Danio rerio: one gene and its partner. The protein of the gene in region 1 interacts with the protein of each later gene in a pairwise test. Links are inferred from orthologs where the notes say so. Each region holds a gene or a part of one and is shown on either strand. Other genes may lie near its edges.

Evidence for each region.
Region 2: the proteins of pcbd1 (region 1) and hnf1ba interact in binary tests that used the Homo sapiens proteins (3 or more experiments, as listed by UniProt). The link is inferred for Danio rerio from reciprocal best matches to the Homo sapiens genes PCBD1 and HNF1B.

What each region holds. Positions count from the first base shown.
Region 1 is NC_133188.1:28,937,781-28,942,088, reverse strand, and holds the start of pcbd1 (pterin-4-alpha-carbinolamine dehydratase), read right to left. Parts: upstream 2,811-4,308; 5' UTR 2,792-2,810; coding exon 2,789-2,791; intron 2,435-2,788; exon of another isoform or gene 2,321-2,434; intron 1-2,320. Other genes in the region: si:dkey-192p21.6 (uncharacterized protein), read left to right, coding at 4,051-4,186. UniProt on the Homo sapiens protein: Involved in tetrahydrobiopterin biosynthesis. Seems to both prevent the formation of 7-pterins and accelerate the formation of quinonoid-BH2. Coactivator for HNF1A-dependent transcription.
Region 2 is NC_133190.1:18,433,442-18,437,264, forward strand, and holds part of hnf1ba (hepatocyte nuclear factor 1-beta-A), read right to left. Parts: intron 936-3,823; coding exon 775-935; intron 58-774; coding exon 1-57. UniProt on the Homo sapiens protein: Transcription factor that binds to the inverted palindrome 5'-GTTAATNATTAAC-3'. Binds to the FPC element in the cAMP regulatory unit of the PLAU gene. Transcriptional activity is increased by coactivator PCBD1.

The DNA of each region.
Region 1 (4,308 bases):
ATAAAATCACAGAAACCTAAAATACCACAATATTCCATTTGTCCAATATTGTGCAGCCCTAATGAAGGCCCTTTTATTTCTAGAACATTTTAAATGTCTTTACAACTCTTTGAACTCCTTTAAAGTGTATTAGACGTTATATCTAAACAATCGTTTCTCTGGGGTAATTATGCTTAGTGGTCCAACGTGTATTTTGAAGGCTTGGTAGCGGTTATAAGATGCAAAACAATGTGTGCTCATGCTTCATTTGTAGAAAATCATGTTATTTATATATATTATCATATTATATACAGCTGCTCAGCTAACATAAAAACGACTGTCAAATTTCCTAGTTCCTCTGAAAGGCCCGCCCTCAGGAGGCTCTGATTGGTCAGCTAACATAATGTGCTGTGATTCGCAGATCGGCTTCACACCACCAGGAAAAGCATCACGTCCTAACAAGCATGCACTGTTGCGATGTATAAACACTGTCAGTCAGAGTAGCTGTTAGCCGTATCAGTTTGTGCCTGAATCAGACAGAAAAATGACACAGAGGACACAGCTGAACCTCAGGCCTGCTCTCTAAAATAAAATCTGACTTTCACATATATTCAGAATAAGCATGTGCAAGTAATATGAAACGTTTACATGTCTTTTGTGAGTTCATCATTTGTGATGTAGAATGCAGGGAAAGCGGCCGCATAGAGAGGCCTTGCAGCGCTACTGAAGATTGTGGGTGTTTACAGGGTTTTGACTGACAAATATTAATTTGTAGCTAAATTGTTAAAGGTGCCTATCAGCATTTCCTGTTGTTTACATCCATGTTTACGTCCATGCTACAAAATACTGTTAACGCTAGACACTATGCATGTACACTCAAAAAATGACGTTTGCAGTTTGTTCAAACTACTTATTTAAAACGAGCTTAAACAACACAATTCATGAGTTTTTTGGGGACAACTTAATTGTTTTATGTTCAATCTACTTAAATTTGTAAAAACTAATAAGCTAACTTAATTCCTTCATGTTGTCCCAACACATTGATTGTTGCGGTTTTTACAGTGTAATAGGTCAATTTTAACAAATATTAAAAATGCTTACAGGTTGTGGCTCACAATCTACAGCTTCTTCTATTATGGTTGGAGCTGCTCCTTTTTTAAGGAGTTTTTATCGGAATCCAGCACTGAACTGGGAATGATTCTGGAAGCTGTCCTTTGTCAAATACTGGCTATATATATTTTTAATAATTCTCTAGAACATAATTAAAATTCAATTGCAAGCACTTTTCTCTTTGTGTCATGTCCTTAGGAAGCCCACATATGTGTCATGTCCTTAGGAAGCCCAAATACAGAAACAGAACAAGCCCTGTAGCATTTTGGACAGCATTTTAGCTTTCTCAGCTACATTACAGCACCTCAGGCCATGCCCTTTTGCTGCGTGTAGTGAATGCGCGAAACCTGAAGCGTTCGTGATCTCACTAACATGGATGTTTTTTGTAGTCCCCACAATTCTCACTCACTGTAGGCTTTGGTAAGCTAACTGTAAAAGCCAATGTCTCATTGAAGTTTGGCTGAATTACATTCAGAGATGTTGTTTATGTTCACGCAGCTACATTACACATCAACTAAAGTTTAAAACATGATATCAAAGTGAACCACCGCTTTAACAAAATCAGCTTTTAAGTTACAGGAATATTTTACATTTTAAAATATAATCAAGTAGAAAACAGTAAATACATATCAAAATTTGACTGCCTCTGATTTAATAAATGCCGGCTTGTTGAGCAGTACAGACTTCTCCAGTACACACACACTTTTAAATTTTAAACCCTACTATACCTATAGATTAGATTAGATTTTATTGATTGCTAATTATTTGTACATACCAATAGTTTGTTTACATATAGCAGATACTATTTAAACAGCTTTACGAACACACTCTTACAAACACTCCAATGGGGATGTTTCAGAAAAAGCACAGTGATTGGTTGTTGTGAACCCCATATGGAAACAATGATGACTTGCATTTTCAATTTTAAGAGCCTCCAGCATATTTGGTCGAGGCAATGACATTCCTAAGCAACTTAACCCTTCCCCTTTTCCCACTTTCAGTACAGATCACATGAGCTTCAAACACATGTCTCTTACAAGAAAAAAAAAAAGCATTAATAAAGAAGATGACACGAGATTTCAACAGGCTTTCCCCAGCATTCATGGTTTTTTACTGAATGAAAGGGAAATGAAGATGATTTGTGTCAGCGTGTTCTTTTGTGCTATACACACACTATTGTCCCAGACTGAACCATCATCAGTATATTGCGTCAAAGAGTCTGTGCAAACACATGTCAGTCAAAATGAAGCTCCAACGCTGATAAAGCTGACTGACATCAACAGGTCTCTTAGCAACAGCCTAATCTGCTGAACTAATGCTGATGCACGAGCGAACACACAGCGAGGTAAAAGACCTGACATCTCAAACACTTAACAGTGCAAATGATGAACATGAATGTTATATAATGAGCTTTTAACTATATTTTATAGTATATATTTTAAATAAAAAATAATAATAACTCAACCAACTGAATGTTAGGTGAAGAATGAATAAAATAGTATTATAAAAATACATATAATATTTTAAAATACATTTTAGTAACAATAAATAAACATTGTTCAACCCAATATAGTGTAAAGAGGCATGTTGTTTGGAAATTCCATGCTTGCATGTTGAGAGTATGGACAAAGACTTTAAATAGTTTGTTAATGGTACGGACGATAAGAATGCAATAGATATGTAATTTGTTTTTTCTTACCATGTTTGTGGGTGCTGTGAGCGCAGCGCTGATGTTGTCTCGGTCAAGCGGCTGGAATGGATTTCAACCTGTGGCCAGAGCGTGAGTTTACGATTCCTACTATGGTGAAGGAACGTCTTATGAATATTAACTGCATTGCGTGATTGGATGCTCACCGGGAAACGTCACGACGCGCTATTTAATATTAATTTATGGGCCCTGTTTCTGCTGCCCTGCCAGAAGCCTGAGCGAAATAGAAGTGTTTGAACTGAAGAGGCCTGTGATGCAGTTGGGTGACTTCACACAGTGAGATAATAATTAAACCGTGAACAAACTTTAGCAGTAGAACTTATCGAGCATTCATGCAGGTCGTCAGGTGACAAAAACAGTGATTTCTTTTTGTCTTATACTGCCTTCAAAATGTATTGAGGATTTACTTTATTATATTTATATTATATTATATTATACTTAATAATATTGTATTTAGGGCTTACTATCTCATTTTAGAAATCAGCCATAACTAAGGTTTTCGTAATTAATACGAAAGGATATTTTAATGTACTGTGCCATAACAGCACTCGTATAACGTTAGCTATTTGAGTAACTTAATTGAAAAAAAAACAATTGTAATAGAAATCTGCAGATAAGTTGGTAATTTGTGACACAATTAAATGTACATTAAGGGTTGTTTATTTACATTAGATAAAAAAAACTAATATAAAAATGTCAAAAAGTCCTTATTAGGGTATAGTTCACCAAGAAAATTTGCCATTTAGTCACTCCTCTCATGTTCTGGACAAGTTTAATTTTTTTATTTTCTGTTAAACACAACACATAAGAAGATATTTTGTAGAATGTTGAAAACCTGTAACGATTGACATCAATTGGAAAATCAAATAGCCTAACGTTACTATGGGAGTCAGATTTCCTTATTTTCTTATTTGTTTGAATTAAATTTTTGTTTGGTTGAACTATTCCTTTAGGTGAAGTAATTAACCCAGGGTCTTATTTTTAAATCTACATTTATTCATCTCTAGAAGAGCAATTAGACGTAGAATTAGAAGTGCTAGGGATGTACTCACTTTTATACACACTGTAATAAAAGAGCATCACAGTTAAATAATATAATTAACATAAAAAGAGTACAAACATGATAAGCGATTGCTTTCACTTTTGCTTGTTTGCTTTTCCCCCCTATGGTTTTGTTTAAGAAGATTTTTTTTCTCTCAAGTTTAATTTTTTAAACACTAAAAACTTGTTTTAATCATGTGTTTTTATAATTTATGCCATTTATGAGTAAGAGGTATCATCTTCAAATGCACTTACATACAGATTTTATTTGTGTCCAACATTCCTTTGACTGCTCCCAGGCAACTAATCCCAGCCAATCTTTGGTCAATCTTCATGTAGAGTCTTATGGTAATAAAAATGTCCAACACATCTCAAAGATCACTGCAATCACATGTACAGTGATCTTTGAGCTCTCTTTATTTTCATTTGCACAAAAAGAGGTAAAAAGTAAAACAGAAGATTTGGAATTA
Region 2 (3,823 bases), on another chromosome or scaffold:
TGCGTGGATGTTGGTCAGGGTGCTTACTGGAGGAAGACCTCCACCTGATACCGAGATCTGTGAAGAAAATACACCACCAGTTCATCAGAATGACTAGAACGCTTCTGTCAGAATTGTACTCTTATCTTAAGAAAGTATCAGAGCCCTGACAGGAGGCACAGAGCTTTATTTGAATAGGCAGAGTTGAGAGGAGGCCATGCTCAGACAAACGTCTGACTGCTCAGATAAGCTGCTGTCATACTCCCTTCCTCCTACGCCAACTTCCAACTGGCTGTTGACAGAAACGCACCCTAGACCATGATGAATTTGACCTATAGTGTAACACTGCAGCCTTGCTAGAAAAATTAATGCACAGAAAATTGTCCTGAAACAAAAAGCTACATGAAGATCTCGCCCAACTCAAACATTAGTATTCAGATAAGCAACTCCATTGAGCGCCAGTGTCACTCAACCAACAGAGAACAAGCACAACTCCACCCTTCCTCTCCTCTGCGCGGCATTTAATCAATACAAACAGAATGTCTCTTTGTCAGGTTTGTTGGAACAGCCATGGCCGTGCCCCATTCTCACTACCACCAGCTAACATTTACTAAGATCAGCCCTGCAGTGCACTGTGGGCCAAGGCCTGCCGTCTAGCTTTGGGTTTAGCACTGGGAAGTACAATGCAGCAATTGTAAGCCCACTTGCTGGGTGAAGATATCTATCAAGCGCTACTTTGTGTTACTGTGTCAAGAGCAGACATAGTGTTATCTTATCAGTGTTGGAAGTGCTTACCATCTTGGCATCAGGTGACAGGAGGCTGTGACTGGGGTCCAGCGCCCCTGGAGAGACCTGCTGTAACACTGACTGGCTGGTTGACATGGCATTGCTGCTATGGTGATTGATCGTTGTTGAAGAACTGACTTCACCTGGACCTTGTTGGCTGTACCGGACACCTGTTGTAAAGGAAGGAAGAGATAAATTAGTTTTAGTTTTAATCTTCTAACTGCTTTACAAAATGTGACCCAGCCAGTATTTGTTGGTCACTGACAAGTTTGGAAGAGCAAACAAACAAGGGCCTCTACATCTGGTGGCTGAACGGTCAAGGTCATCTCAATGTGTACACGTTAGCTGTCTGCAACTCTAAAAAACTATGTTGTGCTGAACTTCAGAACTTTGTTAAAATAATCTATATCAGTGCTGCACAATCCTGCTCCTGGAGGGCCCCCTTTCAGCAGAGTTTTTCTCCTGTCCCATTAGACCAAGGGTGTTCAAACTCGGTCCTGGAGGGTCGATGTCCTGCAGATTTTGTCTCCAACTTGTCTCAACACACCTGCAAGAATGTTTCTAGAAAGCCTAGTAAGAGCTCGATTAGCTAGCCCAGGTGTGTCTGATTAGGTTGGAACTATACTTTGCAGGACACCGGCCCACCAGGACCAAGTTTGGACATCCATGCATTAAACACATTTGAACTAGATAGTTTTTTTTAGAAATATAAGAAATTTCAAGCAAAGTGCATAGGAGCTGCATACTGCAGGAACATTCCTGATCTACATGAAATTAAGTTTTATGAGAGAATTATGTTCAACCTAAGCTGAATTCTCTTTTAGGCTATTTATTTTGTTGGGTATTCTTGACTATTGAAGGCCACAGGAATCCAGCCTGTCTTCTATCGAATCGATGTTTGCCAACCCCACGCTCCACAGATATGAACAAGGTAAACATTTCTCAATTAAGGCTAATGTCAGACACATAGTTTCACTCCTACATTTAAATACTAGGTTTGTGCAGCCAAGCGAGATGATGACCCAGCCAAAATAAATATTTATCATTTGTTATGGGATTATTCCCTGAGCTTTTCTAAAAAAGCTAGTGGCAGCAAAAAAAAAAATGACAGAAAAGTCTAATCCCTCTGCTGAGTTTTGTTGTGTAGCGGAACTACAGATACAACCCCTTTGCACACTTAAAACATTGCCAGCTCTCTACAATGTCTTGTAAACGCCAGCTCAGGACAATAAAGCACTCCATTGGGCCTACAACCTGCTTGGCACACAATAGGCCAGCAACTATAAACAGTCTTTACTTTACTACCGCACAACCACTAAAAGTGTCAGGGAAAGAACAGACTATTGTCTGACTCTATCAGGCATTCACTCAGACTGCAGGGATCTCCTCTCACGTTCAATCATTCAGGTCTGTGCTGTCTGGGCCATGCTGACCAGCAGGAGGGCTCGGTTTCTGAGGAAACCAGAAACCGATGTACAACCTCTGAGAACGCGACATAAAAGTTACATGGAATGGCATCATAAACTAAGTCTTAATTACACTATTCAGTAAAGCAATGTGCACCATTCAGTGACCAATGCTAAAATTAGCGTCTTGACTAAGTATAGACAACAGTTACATATTGGCAAAAAATTTCAGCTTATCACTACTCAAAAATTTGTTTTCAGGTTTCATGATGCTTGTGGTAATCACACAATACAGTTTGACCTGTAAAAAAATGCTACCACAAAACTTGGTTAAAATGACAGAGGGTTGCGGGAAATGCTGAAGGGGAGTGGAAGCAGGAGGGTTCAACTGGTTTAAAGGGTTCAGCTCTCCCTGGGACACATGTAATATCAAAGCCTGGCTCTTCATCCCCAGGCAGTGCTCATTATAGCACTGCCGCATATGATAGGCCTCCTGGGTCTTAGCAGGACGTATGTGGCCTTTCAGCCTTTCTATTGCCCCCAACAGTCCAAAACAAGACAAGTTAAACTGTCCTGTCCTCTGCTTGTCCTTCACTATTATGTTCAGGGGTCATATTGTTTAATTAATCATTTTAGTTTCTCAAAAAATGATATAAGCTAGTTAAACAACCATTCTAACATGCCTAAACAGGATCAAAGACCATTTTGAAAGCAGTTTGCTTTCCAACAGGACGACAACACAAACATAGGGAAGACCACAACCAGCCCCCAAAACGCACATATCAGTTGACCTTCTAATGGCGGCGAACTGGCCTGTTTGTTATCAACAGGCCAAACCTGAATCAATAAAAAAAGTTAAGTCTCTCACTGATGTGACCTGGTAACGACCTCTTTAACAAAACCCTGGTTTATGTAGTTTCCAAGAGGGGGCTGAGACAGGGAATCACCCAGTACTTTCTATACCTCGAGCAGAAGAAGAGACTCATCAGTCCTGTCTGGTCCAAAAAGAGCCAATAGTCCATCGGACAGCTCCTGCTGTTCTGCTCAGAGCACAGCCACTGCCTCTAAACCACAGCCCATAAAGGTGAGAGGGGCTTCGAGGTGTCCCTCCCCCTGGCCCAGCAGAGATAAATGAACCTTGGTTACAGTCACTACAGTCTTCTAATATGCCATAGACAAAAAGATTCCCTGCTGAGAGAAGGTAAAGAGAGCAGGGAAGAGGGGAGTCCCTTATCAAAGGACTGGGAGATGTAGTAGCAGAGGATTTTAATTGTCAATTAAGCATGCATAATACAGGCTGTGCCCTGGCAACGTGATGAGGGGTCCTGCTGTGCTATTATTTTCAGGCCAGCTTCTGACACCAAAAACAGCTGATGCTGCTGGCAGGCCACTGGCAGGACACCTTGTAAGTCCCTTGACTAAAAGCATGGAAGAGACCAACTCCATCCCGTTGCTCCCCCTTCTCAACCAAATTAACACACAACCTGAGGTCACTGACTGGTCAGGTGTGCAAAGGGAAACACCACACGCAAACAGACAAGCCACTCATTGCAGTGCTATATGCACAGAAACAAGCAACACACCCACAGAAAAAGAGCACTCTGACTCTTTAGCGCTCAGACATGAAAGAAACAGTAGGTAATAAGCTGGTC